Linked DNA regions of Xenopus tropicalis. The protein of the gene in region 3 interacts with the protein of the main gene of each other region in a biochemical or structural test. Links are inferred from orthologs where the notes say so. Each region holds a gene or a part of one and is shown on either strand. Other genes may lie near its edges. The genes, in order: ptk6, src, erbb3, itk, fer, syk and shc1.

The links.
Region 1: the proteins of erbb3 (region 3) and ptk6 form a complex in vitro, tested with the Homo sapiens proteins (2 studies listed by BioGRID and IntAct, with this or other methods). The link is inferred for Xenopus tropicalis from reciprocal best matches to the Homo sapiens genes ERBB3 and PTK6.
Region 2: the proteins of erbb3 (region 3) and src form a complex in vitro, tested with the Homo sapiens proteins (2 studies listed by BioGRID and IntAct, with this or other methods). The link is inferred for Xenopus tropicalis from reciprocal best matches to the Homo sapiens genes ERBB3 and SRC.
Region 4: the proteins of erbb3 (region 3) and itk form a complex in vitro, tested with the Homo sapiens proteins (2 studies listed by BioGRID and IntAct, with this or other methods). The link is inferred for Xenopus tropicalis from reciprocal best matches to the Homo sapiens genes ERBB3 and ITK.
Region 5: the proteins of erbb3 (region 3) and fer form a complex in vitro, tested with the Homo sapiens proteins (2 studies listed by BioGRID and IntAct, with this or other methods). The link is inferred for Xenopus tropicalis from reciprocal best matches to the Homo sapiens genes ERBB3 and FER.
Region 6: the proteins of erbb3 (region 3) and syk form a complex in vitro, tested with the Homo sapiens proteins (2 studies listed by BioGRID and IntAct, with this or other methods). The link is inferred for Xenopus tropicalis from reciprocal best matches to the Homo sapiens genes ERBB3 and SYK.
Region 7: the proteins of erbb3 (region 3) and shc1 form a complex in vitro, tested with the Homo sapiens proteins (2 studies listed by BioGRID and IntAct, with this or other methods). The link is inferred for Xenopus tropicalis from reciprocal best matches to the Homo sapiens genes ERBB3 and SHC1.

What each region holds. Positions count from the first base shown.
Region 1 is NC_030686.2:1,941,707-1,946,177, forward strand, and holds the start of ptk6 (protein-tyrosine kinase 6), read left to right. Parts: upstream 1-1,548; 5' UTR 1,549-3,151; coding exon 3,152-3,657; intron 3,658-4,471. UniProt on the Homo sapiens protein: Non-receptor tyrosine-protein kinase implicated in the regulation of a variety of signaling pathways that control the differentiation and maintenance of normal epithelia, as well as tumor growth.
Region 2 is NC_030686.2:39,476,948-39,481,578, forward strand, and holds the start of src (proto-oncogene tyrosine-protein kinase Src), read right to left. Parts: upstream 2,993-4,631; 5' UTR 2,831-2,992; intron 2,700-2,830; exon of another isoform or gene 2,624-2,699; coding exon of another isoform or gene 2,615-2,623; intron 1-2,614. UniProt on the Homo sapiens protein: Non-receptor protein tyrosine kinase which is activated following engagement of many different classes of cellular receptors including immune response receptors, integrins and other adhesion receptors, receptor protein tyrosine kinases, G protein-coupled receptors as well as cytokine receptors.
Region 3 is NC_030678.2:137,683,506-137,687,470, forward strand, and holds part of erbb3 (receptor tyrosine-protein kinase erbB-3), read right to left. Parts: intron 3,771-3,965; coding exon 3,651-3,770; intron 2,191-3,650; coding exon 2,092-2,190; intron 1,433-2,091; coding exon 1,241-1,432; intron 867-1,240; coding exon 711-866; intron 86-710; coding exon 10-85; intron 1-9. UniProt on the Homo sapiens protein: Tyrosine-protein kinase that plays an essential role as cell surface receptor for neuregulins.
Region 4 is NC_030679.2:14,179,127-14,183,584, forward strand, and holds the start of itk (tyrosine-protein kinase ITK/TSK), read right to left. Parts: upstream 3,084-4,458; 5' UTR 1,668-3,083; coding exon 1,530-1,667; intron 1-1,529. UniProt on the Homo sapiens protein: Tyrosine kinase that plays an essential role in regulation of the adaptive immune response. Regulates the development, function and differentiation of conventional T-cells and nonconventional NKT-cells.
Region 5 is NC_030677.2:174,160,586-174,165,134, forward strand, and holds the start of fer (tyrosine-protein kinase Fer), read right to left. Parts: upstream 2,917-4,549; 5' UTR 2,694-2,916; intron 1-2,693. UniProt on the Homo sapiens protein: Tyrosine-protein kinase that acts downstream of cell surface receptors for growth factors and plays a role in the regulation of the actin cytoskeleton, microtubule assembly, lamellipodia formation, cell adhesion, cell migration and chemotaxis.
Region 6 is NC_030677.2:138,464,951-138,468,915, forward strand, and holds part of syk (tyrosine-protein kinase SYK), read left to right. Parts: intron 1-508; coding exon 509-564; intron 565-1,590; coding exon 1,591-1,659; intron 1,660-3,965. UniProt on the Homo sapiens protein: Non-receptor tyrosine kinase which mediates signal transduction downstream of a variety of transmembrane receptors including classical immunoreceptors like the B-cell receptor (BCR).
Region 7 is NC_030684.2:145,083,079-145,087,171, reverse strand, and holds the start of shc1 (SHC-transforming protein 1), read right to left. Parts: upstream 2,801-4,093; 5' UTR 2,086-2,800; coding exon 1,489-2,085; intron 1-1,488. UniProt on the Homo sapiens protein: Signaling adapter that couples activated growth factor receptors to signaling pathways. Participates in a signaling cascade initiated by activated KIT and KITLG/SCF.

The DNA.
Region 1 (4,471 bases), on a different chromosome or scaffold from region 3:
AAATAAAGGTCCTGCTGGGAGTTCTTCAGTTAAGTACTCGTCCCATTTGGTGTAGCCGGCGGGATAGACCAGTAGGTGCCGCGTTGGGCTGTGTAACCAAGTTTTAAAATGGCAAAAAGAGTGCAAATATACCAAGTATCTGCCCAACATAGAGCTGCTTTGGGCCCCCAAAGGGCGGTACCATCGCTGCCAATAGCCCAGAGGGCAGAACTAGCGCACTTGGTAGGACTTTATGGCATAGGGCAGAAGGCATAATGGTATTTCTTTTCAGGGAAATTTTATGACAAGTGATTGAAAGGAGCCAAGAAGCACAGCCTGTCCTGGTGCTTAGTGCCGGGCTGCCCTTTCCAGAGGTGGCAGCAGTGGGGCAGTCTGGGCTAGGGGTATCATCCAAGAACTGAGCCACTGGCTGCCATGCAGGAGAAAGTAGCCAGTACAAAGGCCACTACAAGGGCCAGTACAAGGACCAGTACAAGTGCCACTACAAGGGCCAGTACAAGGACCAGTACAAGGGCCAGTCAAAGGGCCAGTACAAGGACCAGTACAAGGGCCAGACAAAGGGCCAGCACAAGGGCCAATATATGGACAGTACAAGGACCAATACATGGACAGTACAAGGGCCAGTACAAGGGCCAGTACAAGGGCCAATACATGGACAGTACAAGGGCCAGTCAGTACAAGGGCCAGTACAAGGGCCAGTCAGTACAAGGGCCAGTACAAGGGCCAGTACAAGCCAGCCAGACAACTGGAAGGATTTACCTAGACCAGGCAGGTTATCTGCATTAAAGCTGGAACTGCAGTATCTGGACATCTATGGGGTAAAAAGGCACTAATTTGCCCAGGTGCAGTAACCCATAGCAACCAATCAGCAGGAAGCATTTACTGGTCACCTGTTTAAAAGCAAAACTCTTATTAATTGCTATTGGTTACTGCTCCTGGGCAAACTTAGTGACTTTTATTACATATGGGGATAGGGAGCCACTGACCCGGCCCGAGAATGGTTCCAACCTGGGGGATCCACAGTTAAACTAGAGGAACATATGGCCATGTTCTATGAATACATAACAGAATAAATGCAAGGACGTAGTCTCAGAACACGACTGGGTTCTAGGTCCATTGCTTGTACCAATTATAAACCTTAAAAATAGTTTAAAATTTTTATTTATTTCAATCTATTAAAAACATTAACAGCCGGGGCTATCCACATGGGGCTGTTAATAAAGTTTTTACTATTTTTGAGTAGTGCAGACGTTTATAATTGGTACATGTATTACCCATTCTGGTCACTAGGGGGCGATACCTACTCTATATAAAGTGTTTACTAAAAATGAAAATTCCTTTGTTCCTGTTCCTTTTTTTCTAGTTACATTGCTGTCTGTCTGTCACACAAAAATAATAAGTGGGAGGAGTTATATACACCAATTGGAGATCAGATAACTATTGGGAGAGATAAGGGCAATAATGTTCCAGGCAGAATTAGAGAGTCAGCAGCTGAACTCTGAGATTGTAATTGGACTTCTGTATTGCCAGTGTCATTGGCATTGCAATGTTACATGTAACATGGAGCAGTGTCGGAATGGGGTGTCGGGGACCCACCAGGGGGGAATATGATACAGCAGACCCCATAGTCTAGGCTCCCCACAACCATAGTTTTTGCTGTATTGTAATTACCCCACTGAATAAAGGACAGAGATCAGAAGTGTAACTAGCAAATGGGCAAGGGGGTTGGCTTGGATCTGGGCCATGATAAAGAATACATTGGGCTGTCTAACATGGAGCTTGTCTAACATGGAGCTTGTCTAACATGGAGCTTGTCTAACATGGAGCTTGTCTAACATGGAGCTTGTCTAACATGGAGTTTGTCTAACATGGAGCTTGTCTAACATGGAGCTTGTCTAACATGGAGCTTGTTTATCATGGAACTTGTGTAACATGGAGCTTGTCTAACATGGAGCTTGTCTAACATGGAGTTTGTCTAACATGGAGCTTGTCTAACATGGAGCTTGCCTAACATGGAGCTTGTTTAACATGGATCTTGTCTAACATGGAGCTTGTCTAACATGGAGCTTGTGTAACATGGAGCTTGTTTAACATAGAGGTTGTCTAACATAGAGTTTGTCTAACATTGAGCTTGCCTAACATGGAGCTTGTCTAACATGGAGCTTGCCTAACATGGAGCTTGTCTTACATGGAGCTTGTCTAACATTGAGCTTGTTTATCATGGAGCTTGTTTATCATGGAGCTTGTTTATCATGGAGCTTGTCTAACATGGAGCTTGTCTAACATGGAGCTTGTCTAACATGGAGCTTGTTTATCATGGAACTTGTGTAACATGGAGCTTGTCTAACATGGAGCTTGTTTAACATAGAGGTTGTCTAACATAGAGTTTGTCTAACATTGAGCTTGCCTAACATGGAGCTTGTTTAACATAGAGGTTGTCTAACATAGAGTTTGTCTAACATGGAGCTTGTCTAACATGGAGCTTGTCTAACATGGAGCTTGTTTATCATGGAGCTTGTCTAACATGGAGCTTGTCTAACATGGAGCTTGTTTAACATAGAGGTTGTCTAACATAGAGTTTGTCTAACATTGAGCTTGCCTAACATGGAGCTTGCCTAACATGGAGCTTGTTTAACATGGATCTTGTCTAACATGGAGCTTGTCTTACATGGAGCTTGTCTAACATGGAGCTTGTTTATCATGGAGCTTGTTTATCATGTAGCTTGTCTAACATGGAGCTTGTCTAACATGGAGCTTGTTTATCATGGAGCTTGTCTAACATGGAGCTTGTTTATCATGGAGCTTGTTTATCATGGAGCTTGTCTAACATGGAGCTTGTTTATCATGGAGCTTGTCTAACATGGAGCTTGTCTAACATGGAGCTTGTCTAACATGGAGCTTGTTTATCATGGAGCTTGTCTAACATGGAGCTTGCACCAGAGTAATTGTCCTAGATGGTATGGCAATGATACTGATTATTAGAGCCATGGGGAGTTGCAGTTTGACACTGCCATAAGGCCGAGCCCATCCCTGCATTACATAGAGCTTGAGAGATATTTCTGGCATTTCCTTGTTTAGTTCTAAGTAGCAGCCAAGTGTCCCACACCTTGTCCTTGTCACAGGCTCCCCGCCCCTAATCTCGCCCTCAGGTATGTGGCAGAGCAGCGCGGGACGAGCACGGGATGAGGAAGTAAGGTGTTTCCAGCAGGTTGGACTCTCACGTTCATTGGGAGGGAAGGCCCCACAGTCCCTCCATTGCTCTGCTTCCCTCACTTCCACTTTCTTCTCCTCCAACGCCCTGAGAGTGGGGGCCAATGTCCTGACTCAGAGTCATTTCAGGTCACCTTGTCCTCTTCTCCAGGGCAGGCAGAGGTGGGACGAGAAGCCCGAGACCCTTGCTTTGATATTCCCTGGGAACTGGTTGGATGGCAACGCCAAGATGAGCCATCGGCCAAAGCGTTTCGTCAGTCTCTGGGACTTCAAGGCTGAAGCGCCGGAGGAATTAAGCTTCAAAGTTGGAGACGTCTTCGAAGTTCTGGACAGAAGTGGAGACTGGTGGCACGTGCAGAAGCTGAAGGGGGACGGGAAGGGAAAGCCCGAGGTGGGATACGTCCCATACAATTTCCTGGCAGAGGAAGGAACAGTGGAAGAGCAGGAGTAAGTAAGGCAATAATGGGGGGCAATAATGGGGGCAATAATGGGGGCAAATCATGTTATAGGGATAATATTGCTAAAATGCAAGTTAATGACACAGAGAGGTTCAACATTTAGCTAAGAAATGACTCACATCATGAGGTGCCCGGGGCTCTGGGGTAACTGCACTTTCCTGGGCCCCCCGAAATGTAATGTGGGGTAACTGCACTTTCCTGGGTCCCCCGAAATGCAAAGTGGGGTAACTGCACTTTCCTTGGCCCCCGAAATGTAACGTGGGGTAACTGCACTTTCCTGGGCCCCCCCCGAAATGTAACGTGGGGTAACTGCACTTTCCTGGGCCCCCTGAAATGCAAAGTGGGGTAACTGAGCTTTCCTGGGCCCCCCGAAATGCAAAGTGGGGTAACTGCACTTTCCTGGGCCCCCCCCGAAATGTAACGTGGGGTAACTGCACTTTCCTGGGCCCCCTGAAATGCAAAGTGGGGTAACTGCGCTTTCCTGGGCCCCCGAAATGCAAAGTGGGGTAACTGCACTTTCCTGGGCCCCCCCCGAAATGTAACATGGGGTAACTGCACTTTCCTGGGCCCCCTGAAATGCAAAGTGGGGTAACTGCATTTTCCTGGGCCCCCTGAAATACAAAGTGGGGTAACTGTGCTCTACTGGACCCCCCGAAATGCAAAGTGGGGTAACTGCACTTTCCTGGGTCCCCTGAAATGCAAAGTGGGGTAACTGCACTTTCCTGGGCCCCCTGAAATGCAAAGTGGGGTAACTGTGCTTTCCTGGGCCCCCGAAATGCAAAGTGGGGTAACTGCGCTTTCCT
Region 2 (4,631 bases), on a different chromosome or scaffold from region 3:
TACAAATAACAGATTTTGGCCTGAGGATCCCTTTAAGTTCATCCCTTTGTGGGGTTGTAAGTGGGAGGGAGAGATGTGAGTTTAACCAAGAATGGCAGGCAGGCTGTAACACGTAGCTGGCTCGGAAGGCTCAGAGTACACAGGGTGAGAGAGGGGAGTACACTCCAGATTGCATTCTGATAGACTCAACAGGGATTGAGGCACGTGTGAAGGTGAGCTGGGATTTAGCTGGCTCTAAGGCAACTGTAGCCTCCACCTAGTACAAAACTACAACTCCCATCACCCTCGGGAGTTGTAGCTTTGCACTAGAGGGAGGCCAGAGCATAAATTTTTGGTTGAAAAGACCTGCTGATTTTATCTAAAGGTTATTTGCTAAGATACATTCATGTGTCAGTATATTTGATAAGCCGATGATAACAAAGCCTGGCACACGTTGCCCTTTACCCAGCCTAGCTACATAGGCCCTTCCCAACAACCTAGCATACATACCCCTGTATCAGAAGCCTTTCACTTGTACCAACAGTCTGGTACATATAGCCCTTTACATACAGTGTAGCAAATATACCTCTTTGACTACAGCCTGGCACATGTATCATTGTACTCAGAGCTTGAGAACTCACATACATATACCTACAGCCTGGCACATATACCACTGTACCCACTGCTTGGCACTTATGTACCTATACCTATAGCCTGGCACATATACCACTGTACCCGCTGCTTGGCACTTATGTACCTATACCTTCAGCCTGGCACATATACCACTGTACCCGCTGCTTGGCACTTATGTACCTATACCTTCAGCCTGGCACATATACCACTGTACCTGCTGCTTGGCCCTTATGTACCTATACCTACAGCCTGGCACATATACTACTGTACCCGCTGCTTGGCACTTATGTACCTATACCTTCAGCCTGGCACATATATCACTGTACCTGTTGCTTGGCCCTTATGTACCTATACCTACAGCCTGGCACATATACCACTGTACCCACTGCTTGGCACTTATGTACCTATACCTACAGCCTGGCACATATATCACTGTACCTGTTGCTTGGCCCTTATGTACCTATACCTACAGCCTGGCACATATACCACTGTACCCGCTGCTTGGCACTTATGTACCTATACCTACAGCCTGGTAAACAGCCCCTTCCTTTATCTAAAGCCTGGCACATATACCACTGTACCCACTGCTTGGCACTCATGTACCTATACCTACAGCTAGGGATGCACTGAATTGAATCAGAACACTAAAAATCATGTGCCTTTTTGTCATATAAACACAGAAGTTGAAATTTTTTCAGCGCAACCTGCGCACGAGGCTCGCTTTAACCCTTCCCTATCCTAATTTACATATGCTTGGTATTTGGCCGAATCCTTTACGAAGGACACTGAGTTTGACGGAATCTGAAAATAGTGGGTTTGGTGCATCCTACGTATAACCTAGCACCCTTAGCCCTTTACCTACAACCTGGCACTAACAAGGCGACATTGGAAAGTTATGATCATGGCCCTAAAGCCTCCTGCTTTAAAAGCTGCACAGCAAATGGTTAAAAGGGGGAGGGATACCCATTTGCTTGAGTACATTCATAAACATTTACCCTTGCCATTTGCTAATTGTAGCAATCACATAGTTAAAAAAAAAAACAATGCTGCCAGCTCTGTATGACATTTAATACCAATCTAAATTTAGATATAAACTATAATAATTGTGCAACCCACTGCCATAGTAGCTGTTTGACCATTGTGTGTGTTTATATGCAGAATTGTTCCACATACATACACAGGTACATAGCATAGTTTTGCTCCCCAGAACTACCCATACCTATAGAGCTGGGTTGAATTTTAACTCTCAACTTCAACCAGTAGCAGGATGGCCTTTGGTTTATTATAGAGAGGACTCACAAGTGTACAATCTATGATAACCCACCATGCACGCCTTGTACCCTTCACCACTCCTCCATGCATGCCCTGTACTCTCCAGCCATCCTTTACTCCCTGTACCATTTACCCACACACACCCTGTACCCTCCTGCATTCCCCCATACATGCCCTGTACCCTCCTGCATTCCCCCATACATGCCCTGTACCCTCCTGCATTCCCCCCATACATGCCCTGTATACTATAGCATTCCCCCCATACATGCCCTGTATACTATAGCATTCCCCCCATACATGCCCTGTATACTATAGCATTCCCCCCATACATGCCCTGTATACTATAGCATTCCCCCCATACATGCCCTGTATACTATAGCATTCCCCCCATACATGCCCTGTATACTATAGCATTCCCCCCATACATGCCCTGTATACTATAGCATTCCCCCCATACATGCCCTGTATACTATAGCATTCCCCCCATACATGCCCTGTATACTATAGCATTCCCCCATACATGCCCTGTATACTATAGAATTCCCCCCATCCATGCCCAGCACACCCAATATTGCTAACTAGCCCCTTCACTCCCCAATATTCTCTCAACTCCAGACTTGCCCAGTGACTCCCAGCATGCCCCCATCTCAAAATCATGTGTTAAATGTACGCTAGCTTATTGGCCCAGAAGTTTAACCCCTGATGTTCGCAGGAAACATGCTGCACTTACCCTGACCATTAAAGGGCCTGTGTGCACAACATATACACAGGCATACCCACCGAATACCGGGCCAGAGTGAGATTTAAAGGCCCATATGGTAGCAGTGCTCCAAATACCCCCAAAGGCGTTACATACACCATTCCCAAGCAGCCTATAGCGCCCCCATTCTCTGCACCCGTGGTACTATCCTACGCCCCCTAGCGGCACGGTGCAGCCACTACTTACCTTGTCCTGCCTGAGATATCGGGAGATTCCACTCTCCGGGAACCCCCCTCACACAGAGGGGGGCAAGAGCGCTCTTCTCGTACCCACTATCTCCCGGTGCCTCTCCCCACACATCAGATTCCTCCTGGGCCGGGAAGTTTGGGGATCTACTCAGCGTACGGTTCACGCCCGGCCGGCTCCAGCTCCCTCCTCCCCTCCGCCTGTGCTGCCCTCCCCCGGGTCCGCCTGTCCCTCCTCCCACTGAATCAGCCCTGGCCCAGCCTGTCACTCCCGTTGGGGGGTCTCTGTACTGCCCCAGTGACACCCAGCCTGCTCTCTCACCACAGTCCGGGGCGCTTATTAATTCGGCCTGTCCCTTTTTGTCTTTCCCCTTTGTCCTTCCCCTTTCATTTGCATTATTCCCCTCTCAGATCCCACCTCTAATCCCAACACTTCCCCCTCTCTCCTCCTCCCCTCCCAGAGCTAGCCTGGCTTCCCTTGTCTTCCTTTCTCTCATTCTTCCCTGGTGAGTCGCACCGACTGATTCACTCAACTAGAGGAATTACACAACCCTATACTTCTCCCCATACACCCAGCACCCACCCCTCTAGTACTTCTCCCCATACACCCAGCACCCACCCCTCTAGTACTTCTCCCCATACACCCAGCACCCACCCCTCTAGTACTTCTCCCCATACACCCAGCACCCACCCCTCTAGTACTTCTCCCCATACACCCAGCACCCACCCCTCTAGTACTTCTCCCCATACACCCAGCACCCACCCCTCTAGTACTTCTCCCCATACACCCAGCACCCACCCCTCTAGTACTTCTCCCCATACACCCAGCACCCACCCCTCTAGTACTTCTCCCCATACACCCAGCATTACATTAACATTTATTTATAAAGCGCCCACCCCTCTAGTACTTCTCCCCATACACCCAGCACCCACCTCTCTAGTACTTCTCCCCATACACCCAGCATTACATTAACATTTATTTATAAAGCGCCCACCCCTCTAGTACTTCTCCCCATACACCCAGCACCCACCCCTCTATTACTTCTCCCCATACACCCAGCACCCACCTCTCTAGTACTTCTCCCCATACACCCAGCACCCACCCCTCTAGTACTTCTCCCCATACACCCAGCACCCACCCCTCTAGTACTTCTCCCCATACACCCAGCACCCACCTCTCTAGTACTTCTCCCCATACACCCAGCACCCACCCCTCTAGTACTTCTTCCCATACACCCAGCACCCACCTCTCTAGTACTTCTCCCCATACACCCAGCACCCACCCCTCTAGTACTTCTCCCCATACACCCAGCACCCACCCCTCTAGTACTTCTCCCCATACACCCAGCACCCACCTCTCTAGTACTTCTCCCCATACACCCAGCACCCACCTCTCTAGTACTTCTACCCATACACCCAGCACCCACCCCTCTAGTACTTCTCCCCATACACCCAGCACCCACCTCTCTAGTACTTCTCCCCATACACCAAGCTCACATGTCTCTAGTACTTCACCCCATACACCCAGCACCCGCGCCTCTAGTACTTCACCCCATGCACCCAGCACTCCCACCTCTAGTACTTTTCCCTAGCTCTTTGTGAACTATTGTTTGGATGACTGTTATCTGGTTGCTAAGCCTCCAATGACCCTAGCAACCAGGTAGTGATACCAGTGGAGATTAAATAGGAAAGCTTGAGCAGTGCATTGTAATGTATCACCCTGCATTGTTCACACCTCAGATTCAGGCTGTAACCCCCTCTATTGTTCACACTTCAGATGTATGCTACCTGTGTGTGCCATA
Region 3 (3,965 bases):
TCCACGTACCATAGCTCCATACGTCACTCTGATGAGTGTACTTCCCAAAGTGTATACTTTCCAGAGCCATCCATTTCACGGGAGTCTGCATAGTACCAAAAAAGGTACATTAAAAAAAAAATAAAAACAAAAGTACAATTTTAATCAAATCTCAAAAATTTTTCTCAGTGAACTGGATAGTTTGATTTTTTTCAGAATTTGATTATAAATCAGTGTATGTAGAAGTAAAATAAACAGATACAGGGGTATGTACAGGCCCAGCCTGGGATTCAAAATAGGCCCTGGGATTATAATTACACAGAGACCTAAACAGCCCCCATGAGCCCAATAAATAGTGACTCTTACAGGAGAAGGCTCTGGCATTTGCCAGAATCCACAGATTACCAGTCCAGGCCTGTCCACAAAAAAAAATCCAAAAACCAAAGCAGGTAAATTCCCCTGACACATCCATGCTAGAAACTATAATGCCGGATGCACCTAGAACAATTGTGTTAATTTAAAGCTTGTTGCTAAAAAACAACTGCAAACAGCATTAATGGACACCCTGCTGCTTGGTGATTCACCGGCCCTTGCAGTTGCAAAGGAATATGAACAAGGATATGAGAGCAGAAACCAGCATTGGAATATGCTTAGCTAGTAATAAGGTAAGGTTAGATATTAAGCAAATATTGTACTTATAAACATAGATGAGTGTGAAGGCAGAAGGGTACCTTGATCTCATTGTAGCAAAACTTCTTGTCATCTGGGTACAGCAAGTCTGCCACTCCATAGTCTGATACCTGCACCTGATTGACACTTTTCATAAGGACATTCCGAGCAGATAGGTTCCTATGAACCATTCGATGTTCCTCCAAGTAACACATACCCTACAGGAGAGAGGAAGGACACAATAGACAATGGATAGGGCAGGATAAATCATTATAATGATTTATATATGATATTACATTGTAACAAACAGAGATGGGAAATTATGTAAGTATAAATGTGAAATAACAGATTTAAATGGGGAATAATTTGATGAAAAGAGCAAGGGGGCTGTTTATCACTTTAGTTATTGTAACTGGTTGTATTACAACATTGTCTACCCAGCAACAACCTCTAGTGTGTCTGGGTATTCATATTCACGTTATAATATAACTTGTCAGTTTCTTGACAAATTTTCTGTAGCCCATTTAAGTAGAGCTGATATATGACAGTGCTTGCTTTGTTACACTACTGCCAGTTTATTCTGAATATTTACCTTTGCAATTTGCACACACCAGTTAAGAAGAAGCTGAGGACCAATGGCACCAGAATCCTTGTTTTTGCGCACGTGTTGAAGCAGCGATCCCATTGGCAGGTATGCTGTGACCAGCTGGAGCTGTGAGCCTGGGCATATCCCCAACAAACGCACAATGTAGGTATGGTCCAGGCTTCCAATTGCTAGCATGTGCTGTGGAGACAGGATAGCCTCAGAACCACCCAGTACAAGTGAGACCATACATTACCATGGCTACATAAACAGCATAGTAGTGCTACAAACAAATTCATAAGCTTGTTGAGCTGTGCTACTATGCCTGGAGTAACATTTACCTGTATCAGTCATACAAGGAAAAAATGCAGTATTAAAACTAATTACAGATAGCAAAAGTCTTAAAGGAGAATGGCAACCTTGAACAAAAGGTAGTATCTCCCGAAAGAACTCCTAAACCACCTAAACTACACCACTATCCCCCCCACAAATCTGCCCCATTTTCCATGCATGTTGATAAAGAGCAGAGTAGTGCAGCTTGGTCAAAGGGCACCATTATGTGCCGCTGAATTGCCGGTCTGGCTTTAACTGCAAATGCTCTGTGTTCGCAATCATTGGCACGAGAAGATTCAGTTTGGTGGGATGGTGCCCCCCACCCCGCTGTGCTAATTTCATTTTTATCAACATTTAGGGAAAACAGGGAGGACTGGATGGACAAACTTGTGTGGTTCCAGTGGAGGAGGGCTGTTTAACTGATACTACCTTCTATGCAAGCCATTAAATTCCTTTCCTTACAATTACTACTAGTTTTTATTTCACATGGTTTACATTCTACTGAGTGAACAAGAGAAGCAACTTACATCAGTAACTGCATGGAAGGTCTGGCGACCGGTCCGGTCTAGTATAACTTTAATACAGACAGGTATCTTGATCGACTCACCATCGGGTATCCAGACACCCTGCAAGAGAAAACCAAAAGGAAGGAAGTTAATAATACAAACGGTAACTCAATGAAAAGTCATTTTTGTTATACGGTGTTCCTCATGTTTTTCACCATTTTACTTCACACAGACATGTGGAATAATAAGATATAAACTGTGGTTCATGTCTGGCAAAACCCACCTAGAAATGAAGCCTCTAGCTCTGCACTAAACTGCATGTAAGGAAATCATATGTTTTTCATATCAGCAATGTAACTAAGCAGTAATAAGACACTCCCTTTTAAGCCTCCTGGAGGTTTGATATTATTGCAAACCGTCTATCTGTAGTAATAACTCATATCAACCGGGCTTGCTTTTTTTCAAGAAATACCATGACCTGGATGAATGAGAACCTTCACAGCCATAGCAAACAGTCCACATACTGAAATGCACATCTATGAAGGCTCCAGGAGGGCCCCCGTGTTCTCTAGGGCAGGGCCTGCTGTCTCTAATTTTTTATGCTGATTTTTGTGTATGTTCATCTAAAGGTGGGGCCCTTTAACTGGCCTACCCGACTGATACCTGTCTGAAAATCAGGCAGATGTCAATCAGGCAAGTTTAAAAATCTCATCAGGATGAGAAACACATCGGTGCATTGATCCTTGTCCAAACGGTCTGTCAGTGTGATCTGATTCTTTAGCCCAAAAGCGAAACTATCAGATTAGTCCAATATCGCCTACCTTAAGGTGGGCATACCAGGGGAAAGTCCTTTCCGTGTATGGCCAGCTTTAAGGGCATTTTTTTCTGTACTTTACTGAAGTGTAGGCATACATGGGCTGAGCTGTTGGTATTGTATACAGCTAATTGGCATGGCCGCCTTTCTACTGTTCTGTTTCGCTGGGACTGATAACCCAAACAATCAGAACAGCAGGTAGCAAAGAGAAATACTGCCACATATAGTTTGCAGATTACATTGTCAAAAGTATATGGATTTGTCAGGCCAATGTGTACATATATATATATATATAATATATTTACATCATACAAAAGATTTTAAAGATATTTGTATTGCCAGCTTAGCATGTCAGGTTTGGATTTTGAGACCTATGGTACATCACCAGCCAACAGCAGCAGCAAGGCTTTATCCTGGACAAGTGGACTAATTTACGCCAGTAGTTTTCTCTTGGGTTTGTGAGTTATTCCAAATTTTGGTCCATGTTTTCTGGAAGCACAGTCTGTATTGACATACATATTCTCTTGTTTAAATATCAATCATGATACTACAAAGCACCCCTAGGTGTGAGAAATACCTAATATGACTAGTGCATATTGCCGTAATTAACATTATTATCATTATTAGAGCCACCAAAATGATTTCCCTTTAATCGTATTTGCCCATCACATGGCATTTCAGGTGACCAAGACAAAGCATTAGATAAACAACAAGTTCTTCTACAGGCTCAGGTTTCTGTCTCCTACATACAGTGACAGATACTTACCTTATGCACTGTGCCAAATACTCCGGAGCCCAAGATCTTCAGTTTCTTCAGTTCTGTGTCTTTGAAGAGCCGAGCCTGCACGGTGTTTGTTTTTTCTGAAGGATCCAGCATATCCAAACACTGCAGAAAGAGTGGGATTTAATTACACTTTGTCTTCATTATATGCGCCATTTTTCCTCATTATGTATTTTTCAGCTGATTTTGTCCAATGCCAAGGCAAAATATACTATCTCAGTTTATCAAATGTAAACTTTATAGAAGTCTATGGTAAAAACTGGGACTGAGTTGGGAGAAAAGTTTTTTCTCCTCAAATTG
Region 4 (4,458 bases), on a different chromosome or scaffold from region 3:
TGGCTGTTTGTCTGTTTGTTTGTCTATTACCGGCGCATGGAGTAAATAGTAAATCTTCTTATTGTGTCCAAGGAAAGCAAATGTCATCTAAACGAAAGAGGGGCATCATTTAGTGTTTGTCTACCCCACTTGCAGAAGATAATTAGTTAGGGGTTACCAATAGGGAGGTATGCCACTTTATTGCTTACATTTAATAACAATAAAAATAAATGTTTACCAAATGTTACCAAAATTAACAGCTTTATAGAGGTTATATGTGGTTGTGGGGGGCCCAGACCATGGGATCTGCTTCTTCCGTAGGTGCTAGAAATCCCCCTTCCCCAACTGCTCTCTCCTACCTAACGTGGCACGAGCAGGGTACAGGAGCATGCGGGGGCCAGGTAGGGCTTGCTTTGCATGCCGTGCCCCTCCAAAGATTTTTTTTATGGGGAAGGGGTGCCTGAGGCACATTGTAGATACACCACTGGATGCAGGTACTGGCTCGATTGCCCTTTTTGTAGTTAAGAAGAAAATTTCCCCCCCTCTAGGGCAAACAGGAGATGCTAGAAGGCAGAAATTACAAAAAGGTTCACATTGATGGACATGTGTGTTTTTTCCACCACCATTTAATTTGTAACTGTGTTAATGTTATAACTGTAAAATATACACTTCAAGCCAACATGATTACATGATTACTAAAATACAGGTACAAACCACAAAGGGCTGGGTCAGAAAAGACATTTGCCCCAAGCCCACTGCATCAGGAGGGCAACAAAAACAAACTTTTCAGATGGAAACGCAACTGCCTGTATGGCAGGCAGTAAAGACAGGGCTGGCCTGCACTTGCTGCTGATTGGCTTTGCACCTTGCAATTTTTTTTTCTTTTTCTTAAATGACCTCCAGTTACTCTACTATATCATAATAAACAATGTAACATGGTTTATGATAATGAGCAGATATAAGCAACTAATGATGAAACAGCTGTTAGAGAAATACAACTTCCAGCAAGAATGCCCCAGCAAGAAGAATGCTGGAAGTTGTAGTTATAAAACTGAAATAACTTTATCTGGACTATGAATCAGAATAGTGGAATAAAGCCCAAGGAGGTTTGCGTTATGAATGCATATGCCTGCAGTCAGGACATCCAATATTGAGGCAGGTGTTTATTTAGAGGCCTATCATTTTTGTTAACACTGTTAGCACAGTTTTGTACTGAGGTCAAAAGATTAAAATATATTTATGAAGTCCTTTGGTACAGTAAGACAAAACTGCTGAAGCACTAAGCTTAGCGCATGTCAAGGATATAACCAACATTGCTACATGGGTCCTTACTGGTATGATAAAGACAAGAGAAAAACCCAGGGAGTAAGATGGGGCAGAAAGAGAAAGACAAGGATGTAGCTCCAACCCTAATAAGACACACAAGCATTCATATCAATACAACATTCACACAGACCCTTGTTTGTAGGAACACTGTGAACAAAGAAGCCAAAGAATGAAACCACATTCCAACCTAATGCCCTACAAACCCTTGTGCTACATTCGCTCACCCCTTGCCGATGCTCGTAGTAGTTGAGTGAAGAGTGGGTCAGGATGAAGATCCTGGACTTGTAGTTAGCTGGGGACGTCCTTCTCTTCTGCTGGGACTTCTTAATAAGCTGTTGTTGCAGGATAACAGGGTTATTCATCTGGGATACCAGACCCTGTTCCCAGAGTCACCAGAAGACCCCGAGGCAGATCACATAGAAAATATTTGTTTTTTACTTTTTTCAAGAAAAATTAAATGAGACCACCTAGTCCTTTAAGAAAACACTCTAAGAGAGAGGATGAACAATCACATGACTGCATGAGACTGTTAGCTGAAATACTCAAAAAGAAGGCAGAGTAGGGGAAGGGGTGCTGCCATAGAGAGCGGGGGAGTCACTTATCGAGACATCAGTGAGCAGAGCAAGGTGAAAAACTTGTTTTATGACCTCAAGCTTCAACCACATCCTTCTTTTTTCTATTAAGTTGCTTGTGTACAGCAGGGGCTCTCTCCAGCACATTTCACACATTTTTCTACCCACTGCTTTGCTGTATACCTTAATAACAAGTGCATTGCTCACAAAAAAGCACAAGAACTAACTTATAATGGACTAAATATTTCGAAGGCTTTAGTCATACATGTCTTATGTAACTTTACAAAAGTGGTTACATGTCTTATGTATCAATATGGAGGGCCACAAGTACCATATTGGTGAATTATAGTCAGTAAATAGCGCCATAATACTGGGGGGCAGAGAATAATGTTGTGAGCCCTTACCCCCCCCCCAAAAAGAATCAGCAGTGACTCAAGACTTGCACTTTAATTACTATATGCTTCCCTGTAGTTACCTGCACCAAGTAGGGTCATATAGTGAACTTACCATGTGGCCCGGGACTCTCAAGCATTCTGGTTAAGCTGGTTAAGCTTTGGCCGTGCCAAATATTCTCCACTTGAACTCAGCTCTTGCCAAAGCAGATCATCCTCCATAGCAATAATTATGCCCAAATAAGCTTGCATTACCCAGCCCAAGCTCAACCCAAATCAGCAATCCACCTACCACAGCTCTCCATGCTTCCATTTGTTGTCTGCCCAGTGGTGTATCCCTCCAATATCATCTTTATCCATCAGCATGACTTTCTGGCACTATATACCACAGCAGGATATTTGCCCTGTGCCTACCAATAGACTATCTGTCCCTTTAGCATTATAAATGACAGGCCTGGACTGGCAATCTGTGGAGTCTGGCATATGCCACAGGGACTGCTGTAATCTATCATAGACAGTCACTATTTAGAGGGCTGTTTTGGGCCTTTATGTACTTAAAATGCCAGGGCCTATTTTGAATTCCATTCTGGTCCTGATGACTGTGCAACACTATGCCCCTAATAACACAACTACCCAGAGGCTGTCACAAGTGCTTTGAAAATGTGCACTAAAGGTGTGATTTTGTGTCCCTTAGGGCCGTGGCAGATGGGGAGATTAGTCGCCCGTGACAAATCTCCCTAGTTGCGGGCGATTTATCTCCCCCATATGCCATCCCACCGGCTTAAATGTAAATCGCCGGTGAGATGGCATATGCAGTGACGTGATTTCCCGTAATCGCGGAAGTTTCCTCTCAAGGCATATGCCATCCCACCAGCGATTTACATTCAAGCCAGTGGAATGGCATATCAGGGAGATTACTCGCAGGCAACTTATCTCCCCGTCTACCACGGCCCTTAAGGTCCCCATACACTATAAGATCCGCTCGCTTGGCGATGTCGCCAAGCGAGCGGATCTTTACCCGATATCCCCACCTACGGGTGTGCGATATCGGGTAGGAAGTTGCTTTAAAAAAAAATAATCCGATCGTTTGGCCCTGGGGCCAAACGATCGGATTACAGTTGCGGCCATGGGGCAGTCGGTTCGGGGGCCGCATCAACGAGCCGATGCGGTCCCCGATCCGACTGGATTTTCTAACCTGGCCAATCAATATCTGGACAATTTCAGGCCAGATATCGGTTGGCCAGGCCGCTCGTTTCTTCCCATACACGGACCGATTAGCTGCTGAATCGGTCCAAGGGACCCATATCGGCAGCTTCTATCGGCCCGTGTATGGGGGGCTTAAGTGTTCCTACACTTGTAGCAGGGGCATCACTAAATTACCGCTCACAGCTCCCAAGCATACTTGTACACCAGCAGTATATCTGGCCCTTCAGCATCATGGCAATGCCACACTGTAGGGGCCATTTATTTATACCCCTGCTGCAAAAGCAAGAGCATTCCCTTAGTGCTCACTCTCAAAGCACTGACAGGGGCAGACCTCACATGCTGATAACAGGCTCCTCTGTCTCTTCATAGGCTGCTCCCAGTCTTCTCACAGACTGCCCTCCAGTTTCCACAAGTAATTTCAGCAATTTCCCACATGGAACCTCTCATTGTGCCACTGGCCCTAGAAACACAAAATACGCATTATTGTATCTCAATTTTAAAATGAAAGGTCCAGACCATAAACACCATAAAGAGAATAAAGATGAACATTTAAAAAATGTTTTATGTATGTCCAGCACCTACAAATATGTTCTATTTAATATGGGAATTGTTTTGAATTCTATGGGTGGGTAGAAAGCCATGAACCTATACTGTAGCAGACTCATGTTCACTACATCTTTTAAACCAGCTTGTTTTTGCTTTTAAGAGCAACAACCAGTAGTACAAAGACTATAACCAGCCAAACATATACTGCTTATAAAACATTCTTTTTGGGAAGCCACACGGCTCCCCCTGCAGTTGGCACCACGTTAAACGCTTCCAGCGCCTGCGCAGTAACACGCCATTGTTCAATAGTAACAGGTAATGGACGCTCTGGAAAGCGCGCTGACGTAACGTGACGTACCTCTTCCGGAAGTTGCTAGTGACTACTCGGAAGTGTTTGGTGTAGGGCGGAGATTGGCGGTGTGTTGTATTGGAGGAAC
Region 5 (4,549 bases), on a different chromosome or scaffold from region 3:
CCTTGGGCCAGTAAAAAAGCCTAAAAACATAACGTAAAGCAATCCCTGCCTGTGTTAAACTTTCCTTAACTATTTTAAACTTAGTTATGGGGACCAACCAATGCTTTTTATTATCACGGAGTAATATCCTATACTTTGCGGGCGTGCATGGCAATAGGGACAAATAGAACATAAGATTACAGAGCTTGCACTGGCATTAGGCAGTGTTGGCTTGTCTCTTAACCACATGCTTCTTTTACAGAAGCTGACACAGGAAGCACAATATATTAAGCAAGCCCCAAGTCTAGGCTTTGGGTTTAGAATTTGTTGAAATCTTACATGGTAGCTACATTTTCTTTCACATCCTTAACTACTTGGCTAATGTTATTTAATGTAATGATAAAGGTAAATACAGACACTGCCCCCTTAAAATAAATCTTATCAGTTACAATTTCAATTTTACTGTAATACATACCAGAGGGTTATTAACAAGGAATGAGAAGGAATAAACCCATTATGTTTACTGGGAAAGGTACTAAACTACATCATGGTAGTTAATATTACAAAGCATTATTAATCAATAATTAGTTTTTGTAGATTACAAGTTACATAATAAAAGCAAAGATTTAACAGGTTGCTAACTGCTATGTTGCAATTAGACATTCATGTGAATCAGCCCCTCTGCTTCCCTTCACAGATGTAATATGCATCAAGAATATTTACCCTCCAAGAATATTTACCAGTCTTCCAAAAAGCTATATGTACCTGGCATACTCTCTGCCAGGTATACCATAAATCATATGTCACAATGTCATATGAAAAAGTCTAGCTGCAGCTACTATCTGCTTGAATTCCGCAACCCTTCCAAAAAGATTTAAAGGCTTTTGACGTTAACTAATACCCTTACACCTCATACATCAGCCTTATATTAGCTATTTGATCAGCCAAGCCTGGTAGGGCAAGTGAAACAACCACAGCTAGAGCAGGCAGGTGAGAGACAGGTCCTAGCGCTATACAGTGCAATTACTGACTTGTTTACAGTATGCATAATGTGTATATGTCATAACAAAATGGTTTCGCTGAGACACTGGAAGAACAGGTATTAATTTCTCGCTAAGTGTTAATACAATCTAAACACATCTGTACTAGCACAGAATAGTAAGACATTACAAACTCCAGCTTATTTCACAATTTAAAACACTAGCCGTATTTTAGAGGCCTCATTTTATATCTGAAAGGAAGACAAAAAAAAATCAGATGTCATTTTCACCCCCAATTGTGCCATGCCCTACCTAGGGCATGGCTCTTTCTACTACTAATTAGCCTTGTTAACATGGATATTTGGCCCGATACTGCATTTCTACAAGTGAATGTAACAATCTACAACACTGAATATACAATTAGCACTACATAAAGATATACATACTTTAATTATATGTTAACAATTTTACACCATTTTCACTAGCCCTTTATACTTGTCACAGGGTAGAATGTACACCCAGTGGTACCAAAAACGTCAGGCTGGGACAGAGGTAGGCAGTGCTTAGCTTGAACACTAAAGCTGGCCATACCTTGTTTCGTACGATATTCGGTGCGTGTTTAACCGATATCGCAAAAGGCTGTGGATATCGGTCGACTCCCCAATCGGGCGGGTTAAAAGATTTTGGCGCCCAATCAAAATCGACCTTCAGGGCTGAATCAGAAGAAGGAGGTAGAAATCCTATTGTTTCTACCTCCATATCTGACAATTCAGCCTTGAATGTCTGTGGAGGGTGGGAATTGGGGTGAAGAGTTATATGCTGTCCTTGATATTCTGTGAAGTCTGACTAAACAGCTAAAACATAAATGTTTTTCTATATCTGTAACCTTATTGTAAACTAAGAGCTGGGACCAAATGTTAGACTTCCGAAGGGACTTGAAGCAACAACGTCTGGCAACCACTGTTGACAATGGCATTTTTCGACTGTTACATTCACTTGTAGAAATGCAGTATCAGGCCAAATATTTGTATATTGGAACATATCTAGTTATTGTAGTGCCACTTACCCCTAAGCATTGTAATTACAGGTATAAAACAGTGGGCCTGAATGAAAAGAAAAAAATAAAAACTAGAAGTATAGCCTTAGAATGAATGTGGGCAATGTGTAACTAACCTCAGCAAACCATATGACCATGTTCAAGACAGAGAGGCGCAGAATAGTAAATAACAAAGAGGGAGAAAAGGCAGCAGAATATGTACAGCTGTATCACTTTGAATGTCACTTTTAGAAAGAAAGTAAATAAATACAAATTATTTCCAAATAGCAATATTTGCTGCTATTTTGGCTGCAGAAAACATCTCCCTATTTTGGGTTCACCCCCCCCCCCAAACTAATAATAAGGGAATAATACACACGGGCTTATTGACTTTATACAAGGTGTATACAAGCTGCACCCATCCCATTCCCAAGAGTTAGAAGGCACCGCCTCCTGCGCTAATGAACACCATGGACGCCAAAGCTGCCACAATGCCGGCGAGTCTGACTCCCAAGCCTGATAAGTACGGCACGCATTATCTGCCATCAATATGGGATCCCACTGCTAAGCAGCAAGCGAACCACAATGTTACAGCTAAGCCAGAAAGGCGTACAAAGTGCTACTAGCGCACAATAATAGCGACAGATTCCAAGGAAAGGGTAAATGTGGAGAGGCCCAGAGTGCCGCCCGATACGTACCGCCTGCCTATCCCGCTTTCCGCGGGACACTCCCGAATCTCATAACACAGCCCCCAGCCCCGGATAACTGTTTAAATGTCCATCATCTCGGCTCTGCCGGCCAGCGCTCCCACACTCCCGTCATACTCTCGCGAGATGAGACTACCGTTACGGACACTGTGAGTGGGAGCGCAGGCACGCCGACGTACCCGCCTGGGGGAGAATGAGAAGTGATGGAGCGAATGATTGCTGAGCGTGTAAGATGCTGAGTCTGTATAGGACACGGAAGCTGCTGCTTTTTTTGTGGAGCATAACTGAAAGGAATAAAAAAATGCCCCTGCCATCACCAAGTCCGCTCCTAAATGTAGGAATGAGGAAAACTGAGTCTTTTCTGGGCTCACTGGATGTCCTACTTGTACAAGGGACAAAATGCAACAAAGAAGTATTGTTCCTAGTGGTTGCAAGCAGTATGTGCCACTAGTCTCTGCTGCAGATATTTAGGCAGAAGTACATGTTATACCTAGAAAAGTAAGTTTGAGAACAAACTTCATGTTGGGTTGAAAAATATGAAGTCACTGAATGGGCTCCGCCCACTTTCTCTAACCTTGGATCACAGTTATACAGTAAAAACCACTGTGCAAAGTTTGGGGACCCTGGTTTTAATAGTGTCTGAATGGCCGCAATTTAAATTTCCCCACTGAAAGTCAACGAGTGACATCTGATTGGTGGTTGGTGGCTCCACCCCCTTTTTCTAACCTGGAACTGCAGTTACCCAGTGACTAACTCTGCAAAGTTTCGTGACCCTAGGATTAATAGTTAAAATTTAAACCAATAAAAGTCAATAGGTGAATTATGATTGGTGGTTGTGACCCCGCCCCCTTTTTTTAACCTTGAGTCGAAGTCACCCAGTGACAAACAGTGGGCACTCTGGCATAAATAGTGTGAGAATGGCAGCATTTTAAATTTAAACCAATAAAATTCAATGGATGAAATCTGATTGGCTGTTAGTGGCCCAACCCACTTTTCCTATTTTTTGAACTGCAGTCCCCCAGTGACCAACTTTGCAAATTTTGGGGACTTGGGCATAAAAATTGTGAGACTGACAGCATTTTACACTTCACCATTGAAATTATATAGGTGAAATGTGATTGCCTGTTGGTGGCTCCGCCCACTTTTTTCTAACTTTGAACGGCAAATACCCAGTGACTAACTCTGGAAAGTTTAACAACCCTGGAATTAATATTTAAATAATGGCATCAGTTTAAATATAAACCAAGGAAATCTAATGGGTGGAAATGGATTGGCTGTTGGTGGCTCCTCCCACTTGTTTGGGAACCCTGACATAAATAGTGTGAGCAAAGCAACATTTTAAATATAAACCAAAAAAAAATTCAATAGGTGAAGTCTGATTGGCTGTTGGTGGCTCCACCCACTTTTTAAAATCTAAAAATGCAGTTCCCTGGTGTTAATACTGTGAGAATGGCAGCAGGTTGCATTTCCCATTGAAAATCAATAGGTAAAATCTGATTGGCTGTTGTTGGCTCCACCCACTTTTTCTAACTCTGAACTGCAGTTACCAGGTGACTAGCTCTGCAAAGTTTGGAGACCTTAGTATTAATATTTAAAGAATGGTCGCAGTTTAAATTTAAACATATGAAGTCTATGGGTGAAATCTGATTGGCTGTTGGCGGCCCGCCCACTTTTTCAAAACTAAAACTGTAGTCCTCTAGTGACCAACTGTGAAAAGTTTGGGGACCCTGGTGTTAATACTGTCAGAATGGCAGCAGGTTGAATTTCCCCATTTAGAGTCAATAGGTAAAATCTGATTGGCTGTTGGTGGCTCCACCCACTTACAAAAATACAAAAAACCTTAAATG
Region 6 (3,965 bases), on a different chromosome or scaffold from region 3:
GCTATTATGTTGCTGTTCAGCAGCTCTCCACTTTGGAATCTGGACTTTTCTCTGACATTAGCAAACAGAAATATTCAGGCATAGTGGAGCCACTTATATCTGCAATATGGTATATATGGATTTTATATGATGACATTTAGTAGCAAACTCTATTTTCTTCTTGAGATCAAATATGATTTGCTGCCTCTAATTCTATAGATGTTTAGAAATGAGGGCATGAGATGGTGGGGATCACAACCCAGTGCAATCAACCTTTCACCACAGAATACAATGAAATTAGAATTACACATATTTTACATCATTATGTTAAAGCTATTGGAGCAGCATAGGCATTTTGCAATAATCATATAACAAATAACCAAATTTAAAAAAAAATGCTTATATATCCTTTTTCCCCAATTTGAGCACAGGTTTGTAACACAGTCTATTTGTTCATTTTTTTTTTTTTTTGCTTTAACTATGTAGAATAGTCCATGAAATCTAATTAAATGTCTTCATTCTGTTATAGAAAGCTTTATATTTAAACGTGCACCATGTCCAGCACCTCCTACCCAACATCAAATGGTAAGTAATGCATGCATAACATCAATTTGTTCATTACAACATCACAAAGGCCATTCTCTGCTGGTAAGTGCCATCCAAGTACTATAGACTTGTGTATTGCAACTACTAGAATGCTAAAAGTTTCATTATACGAAGCAAATTAGTCAAACCTATGTTTCCTTCATTAGCAGTAAGAAGGCAGATGCTATTTTGAGAAAGATGCCATCAAGGCAAACTTTGCTTTAACCATAAATCTAATGTAGGTGCCAGAAAGTAATCCAAATGCCCAATCACAGGCTATGTCAGATTATAATGGGGGTGGTGGGATGGTGAGGAGCATTCAACATAATTTCAATATAAAGGGCTTATGCCAATAATGCTTGCCACCTATTTAACCAAATAATTTATAGCTTTATAATTTAAAGGGGGGGGGGGTGTGAGGAGCATTCAACATAAAGGGCTTATGCCAATAATTCATGCCACCTAGTTAATGAAATAATTTATAGTTTTTTTCAGTACAGGTGAAGATAATCATTACATATAAAAAAAAATTGTCTAAGGATCACATTTTCAATACAAGCCCTGTGTATCTGATCCACATGGGTGTTTATTTCCATTAATTTTAAAGAATCCACACTGTAAGGTATAGACTGGGTGCTTGTGGTCTGTTGGGTTAACAAATGGAAAAGACAGGGTTGAAAGGAAGAGCATTACCAAGCAGCTTAATGCTGTGTGACTTTGTATTCAGTGGAACCTTGGATAATACATGTACAGTACCTGAAAGCTGGACAGAGAGACAGTAAATGCACTTGAATAAAAATACTATACTCTTTGAAAGTAATAGAGAATGTATGTTTTGAAAGTTTAGATAAAAAGTAAACATCTTATGCAAAGCCATATAATGCATGAAAATTGTTGGCAGTGACCCTAACTTCAGTTTTGTTATTACTGCCCCCCAGAGAGAATTTTCATTTTCAAATTGTAAAAAAAAAATGTTTTTTTTCTGGCAGCATGTTTAATGTTCCTCTCTGCCATTGTGGTTTCTAGAGTTGGTCAGCAGGTGGAATTATCTCGAGATTCAAATCCTACTCCTTCCCCAAGCCTGGCAACAAAAAGGTGCTCTGTACACACTATCTAAGGCTTTCCAAAATATAGACAGGCGCTAAATTAATGACTCAGCTTATTTACATTAAAGCAGCATTGCGGATTTCTGCATTATTTAGTTCTGCCAAGGCTGTCTTTAGTGGTGGGGGCCCAGGGCAGAGCAGTTTTTGTGGGAGCGTTATAAGACGTAGGACTATATCTGTGTAACTTAAATCCCCGGATCCATTGCTGAAATACTTTTCCCAGAATCACTTGACTGATGTCAGTGGGTCCTTGCTTTTGTATTTCAGAACAAATGAAGTCTAAATAACACTGATAAGTGTTACTGTCACCATGTTGCTTTACTATATCTGCTGTCCTACAGTCTCACTGTTTCTTCCCAGAATGTATTGTTCCTACTATTACATTCAGTGTTGCACTACCTTCTCTTCTATAAATTATACCGTGGTGTATTTCCTACCTAAAACCACTGCTTATGAGGCCCTACTATGTATGAGGCCCAGGGCAATTGCCCCTGCCCCACCTCACTAAAGACAGTAATGCAGTAGTTTTGTAGTTGTTGGTTAAGTTCAGATTTTTACATTCTTAAAATTAAAAATTAAAATAACAATTATCCTCTGAAGGGAAATGCTGTCATCTTCACAGTAAAAACTGCAGTTCTCAAAATGCCAAGAACTGTTGGCAGTCACTTCCCAATATGGAACTGTCTATGGGGGACAATAGATAGAGGGAACAAGTCCATCCGCCAGTATGAATCATGCCCATGCTTATTATAGCTTGTGCCTTAGGCAGTCTAACTGCCATACACTATAGATGTCTGCAGCCAACAGCTGTTCTAGGCATTGTATGCACCAATGCTTTCTCTGAGAAGCTTGTAAACATGATGCCATCGCTGTCCTGAGTTCCATTATGTTTAATATGGTTGTTAAGGGAACCCAAACAAATCTGAAGTCACTGTTTCCCCTAATCATTGGTTTTGGGTGGGGACTTCCAGAGAAAATATGAAATAATTATATTATGCCATTTTAACTGCAGCCTACACATAATTCAGTTGCAGAAATTATATATTTCTCCCTTCACATTCATTTAGCCACTTCTTCATCCGCTTGAAAACTGCTACAAACATCTTGTTTGTTTATTTATGAGCCAGCAGTGCTGCTTTAATATTACTAACTGTGTGGTAAGCTGCTAAAATTACATTAACCATTGATGTCGGTTTCTGCCCTCCACCTGCTATAGACTCAACTACCAGCTGACCTACTGAAGATGCTGGGATTTGTTGTTAATGACATTTGAAGGGCACGCATTTGACATCTCTGCTCTTAACACTCTGCTTTTGGCCCCTAGTGTGGTTTGAAAATAACACAAAACAAGTTGACATCAAAAAATTTGGAAAAAAGGGAAATCATGTATATTATCACAAATGTATCATGTGTCATAAAATATGTGCAGTATATTGATGTGGTGTCAGTGATTGCGGTCAGTGACAGAGATGTTACCACATAATTGACACCACAGAATCATAATATATAAGGAAGATTTTAATTGTTGGGAGGGCTCTTTAGTCTATAAATTCCAGAAATAAGAATGATATGTATAATATTTTTTTTCTGGTATTTGTCTGGCTTAACAAAAGCTCCATGTGTGCTAAAAAAAGAATGAAGTGGGCTTTTCCCAGATTAACTAACAGATAGAATCCAGGTTCTTATTAAAGAGATTTTCATTTGTGGTGAGCTTTGGAACCAGAATGGCCTTCTACTCAACCACCTAATTGGCCTCTATGTTAGTACCATGGCCATTTCTGCATGAGAGAGAATAGAATAGATTGAAGAGAGGAATGATAAAGTAGTAGACAACACCCTAAGGGAAAGAAGAAAATAGGAGAAAAATATCAGATGGGTTTAGAACGGGGAATAAGGGACCAAGGGGTGAAGGGAGAGATAAATTAAGGGCAGAAATCATAGAATGTATTGACAAGACAGTGTGGTACAAAAGTAAGTGAAGAGCAGCAGAAAAACCTATTGGAATGTGGTCTCTTGTCCTAAGGTTTCTAATTTGCTGGTGCCCAGGTTGGCCAGTTGGACACTGGCTCCTTTTTATTTACAGTTTTTTTTTCTTTTGCGAGTGTCAAATTCCCTGCAAGGGAAACAATGGGTAATATTTACTAAGATGCAAAAATACAGCTTGTCTATCTTCAACAAAGTTTTTTTCTGCAACACTGCAAATGTAATGTGCAGAACTATCAGGGGCAAAAATACGTTGTGTAATTATGCCAATGTATTTATAATATAACTAGGCAAGTTTTAGTAAATATGTCC
Region 7 (4,093 bases), on a different chromosome or scaffold from region 3:
GGGTAGGGGCACAGACAGCAGGTAGGAGTAGAGGGTAGAGATTGGGACTAGAGGGTAGGGGCACAGACAGTAGGTAGGAGTAGAGGGTAGAGGTTGGGACTAGAGGGTAGGGGCACAGACAGTAGGTAGGAGTAGAGGGTAGAGGTTGGGACTAGAGGGTAGGGGCACAGACAGCAGGTAGGAGTAGAGGGTAGAGGTTGGGACTAGAGGGTAGGAGCACAGACAGCAAGTAGGAGTAGAGGGTAGGAGCTGGGACTAGAGGGTAGGAGCACAGACAGTAGGTAGGAGTAGAGGGTAGGAGCTGGGACTAGAGGGTAGGAGCACAGACAGTAGGTAGGAGTAGAGGGTAGGAGCTGGGACTAGAGGGTAGGGGCACAGACAGTAGGTAGGAGTAGAGGGTAGGAGCTGGGACTAGAGGGTAGGGGCACAGACAGTAGGTAGGAGTAGAGGGTAGGAGCTGGGACTAGAGGGTAGGGGCACAGACAGTAGGTAGGAGTAGAGGGTAGGAGCTGGGACTAGAGGGTAGGAGCTGGGACTAGAGGGTAGGAGCTGGGACTAGAGGGTAGGAGCTGGGACTAGAGGGTAGGAGCTGGGACTAGAGGGTAGGAGCACAGACAGCAGGTAGGAGTAGAGGATAGAGGCTGGGACTAGAGGGTAGGGGCACAGACAGCAGGTAGGAGTAGAGGGTAGAGGCTGGGACTAGAGGGTAGGGGCACAGACAGCAGGTAGGAGTAGAGGATAGAGGCTGGGACTAGAGGGTAGGGGCACAGACAGCAGGTAGGAGTAGAGGATAGAGGCTGGGACTAGAGGGTAGGGGCACAGACAGCAGGTAGGAGTAGAGGATAGAGGCTGGGACTAGAGGGTAGGGGCACAGACAGCAGGTAGGAGTAGAGGATAGAGGCTGGGACTAGAGGGTAGGGGCACAGACAGCAGGTAGGAGTAGAGGATAGAGGCTGGGACTAGAGGGTAGGGGCACAGACAGCAGGTAGGAGTAGAGGGTAGAGGCTGGGACTAGAGGGTAGGGGCACAGACAGCAGGTAGGACTAGAGGGTAGGGGCACAGACAGCAGGTAGGACTAGAGGGTAGGGGCACAGACAGCAGGTAGGAGTAGAGGGTAGGAGTACAGACAGTAGGTAGGAGTAGAGGCTAGGACTAGAGGGTAGGGGCACAGACAGCAGGTAGGACTAGAGGGTAGGAGCACAGACAGTAGGTAGGAGTAGAGGGTAGGAGCACAGACAGTAGGTAGGAGTAGAGGCTAGGACTAGAGGGTAGGGGCACAGACAGCAGGTAGGACTAGAGGGTAGGAGCACAGACAGTAGGTAGGAGTAGAGGCTAGAACTAGAGGGTAGGGGCACAGACAGCAGGTAGGACTAGAGGGTAGGAGTACAGACAGTAGGTAGGAGTAGAGGCTGGAACTAGAGGGTAGGGGCACAGAGAGCCCTGGTAGCCCAGAGAAACAAAGCCCAAGAAAGAGAAACATGGCCTTACCCTGACCAGATAGGGAACCCCGGGGCCCATGACCTTGTCGTCGGGGTGCAGCCAGCCTCGGGTGGGCTTATTGACAAAGCTGCCGTGCCGGGTCCATTCGTCGCCGGCCAGTTGGCCTCCTTCCACCCGGGACTTTCGCCCGCAGCTCAGTTTGTTCATATCCTGTGAGAAAACAGTGAAAGTCCGGCCTGATTCGGGGCTACTGCCTTCATTGGGGGTGTCCCCTTGCTCCCCGGGGCTGGCGCTCTCCTTCCCCCCCATGGAGGAAGAGAAGCTGCGCAGGTTAAGCAGGTTGGCCGGGTTGGAAAGTTTCAGGTTGGCCATTTTGGGGAAGAAGGAGCACAGAGTGGTGGGGCTCTCCTCCGACTCAGAGGACAGCTCGGCCAGCGGCAGCATTGGGGCAAGGGAGGAAGACGAGGCAGAGCTGGGCAGGGACACCATGATTTCCACCGAAGGGCTGAGGGGCCCAGCGGCCAAAGCCTCTTCCACCGAGCTGACCGACTCATTGCGAAGGTGATTGTATTTGGTTTTGGGAAGCAGATCCATGATGCCAGCTGCCAGCTTGCACTCGACAGCAATGGGGGGTCTGGTTCTCATAGTCCGGTACCGGGCAAACCTGTATACACGGATCTCCCTCCAGAACCCCACATTGGTACCCCTCCAATCAGCTAGAAAGGGGCAGCCAGGAGCCGGGCTGGGGCATTGGCTTGAGTGCCGGGGAGAGAAGAATCCAGCGGGAGACCAGCAGGTTCTGATCCGGGAGCCAGAGAGAGGAGAGTGTCACTTGGTGCATGTCCCACTCACTGTGCATGGGGGCCCCCTCCCACTGATCAATACATTCCCTACACGGCCGCTGATGGGTGGGTACCTCTCCCCTGGCCTGCGGGGCCCCGGCACCCTACGGAGAGAGGATATGGGAGAGCCGGCAGCACCGAGCAGGAAGGCAGCAGAGGAAATGCTGAGGGGGGGGGGAAATAAATCCATATATTTATATCTCCGATGTGCGGCTGGGGGCTCCTCTGGGGGAAAGGTCAGCGAGGGGGGGGGCTAATCCTTGTGGGAAAATGTGCAGATGGACACCGGGCCGGGGGAGGGAGCCATTCCACCTGCCTTCCTACCCATCTCTGGGGCAGGGAGAGAGCTCAGGTGCAGGGGGGGTGGGAGCCTTGCACTGTGTGCGAGTGTGAGTGAGGGACGGTGAGTGGGAGTCGGGATGAATGGAGCTGGGGCTGCCTGATTACCTATTCACTGGCTCCCAGGAGAAGGAGGCTGCTGCTGGCCAATAGCACGCGCTCTGCTGACTCACCCAGCTACTGCCCCCCCCTCACTTCCTCCTCTCAATGAAACCCACCCCCCCCCTCCTACTCACTACTGGGCCCCGGAGCTGACTATCTACTGCTTGCAACAGTCTCCCCATACATCACAGCCCTCAGTTCATCTAAGCCTGGGGGGCTCAACCAGCATGGAATAATGTGGGGGGGGCACAGAACACTAATAAAATATATATATTCCCAGTCACTTGTCTTTAGGGACTAACTATGGAATGGGGAGCTAGGGGCCCAGCCTGAAGGCCAGTTAGGGGTACCCCTGGAACTATAGCGGGGTGACTGTTACCCAAATGTTTCTATATATCTGTAACCTTGTTATGGGCTAAGGGGGCCCAGCCTGAAGGCCAGTTAGGGGGGGATTTGGGGTGAGTGCTTATTTGTGCCCTGGGTACCCCTGGAACTATAGCAGGGTGACTGTTACCCCAATGTTTCTATATATCTGTAACCTTGTTATGGGCTAAGGGGGCCCAGCCTGAAGGCCAGTTAGGGGGGGATTTGGGGTGAGTGCTTATTTGTGCCCTGGGTACCCCTGGAACTATAGCGGGGTGACTGTTACCCCAATGTTTCTATATATCTGTAACCTTGTTATGGGCTAAGGGGGCCCAGCCTGAAGGCCAGTTAGGGGGGGATTTGGGGCGAGTGCTTATTTGTGCCCTGGGTACCCCTGGAACTATAGCGGGGTGACTGTTACCCCAATGTTTCTATATATCTGTAACCTTGTTATGGGCTAAGGGGGCCCAGCCTGAAGGCCAGTTAGGGGGGATTTGGGGTGAGTGCTTATTTGTGCCCTGGGTACCCCTGGAACTATAGCGGGGTGACTGTTACCCCAATGTTTCTATATATCTGTAACCTTGTTATGGGCTAAGGGGGCCCAGCCTGAAGGCCAGTTAGGGGGGGATTTGGGGCGAGTGCTTATTTGTGCCCTGGGTACCCCTGGAACTATAGCGGGGTGACTGTTACCCCAATGTTTCTATATATCTGTAACCTTGTTATGGGCTAAGGGGGCCCAGCCTGAAGGCCAGTTAGGGGGGATTTGGGGTGAGTGCTTATTTGTGCCCTGGGTACCCCTGGAACTATAGCAGGGTGACTGTTACCCCAATGTTTCTATATATCTGTAACCTTGTTATGGGCTAAGGGGGCCCAGCCTGAAGGCCAGTTAGGGGGGATTTGGGGTGAGTGCTTATTTGTGCCCTGGGTACCCCTGGAACTATAGCAGGGTGACTGTTACCCCAATGTTTCTATATATCTGTAACCTTGTTATGGGCTAAGGGGGCCCA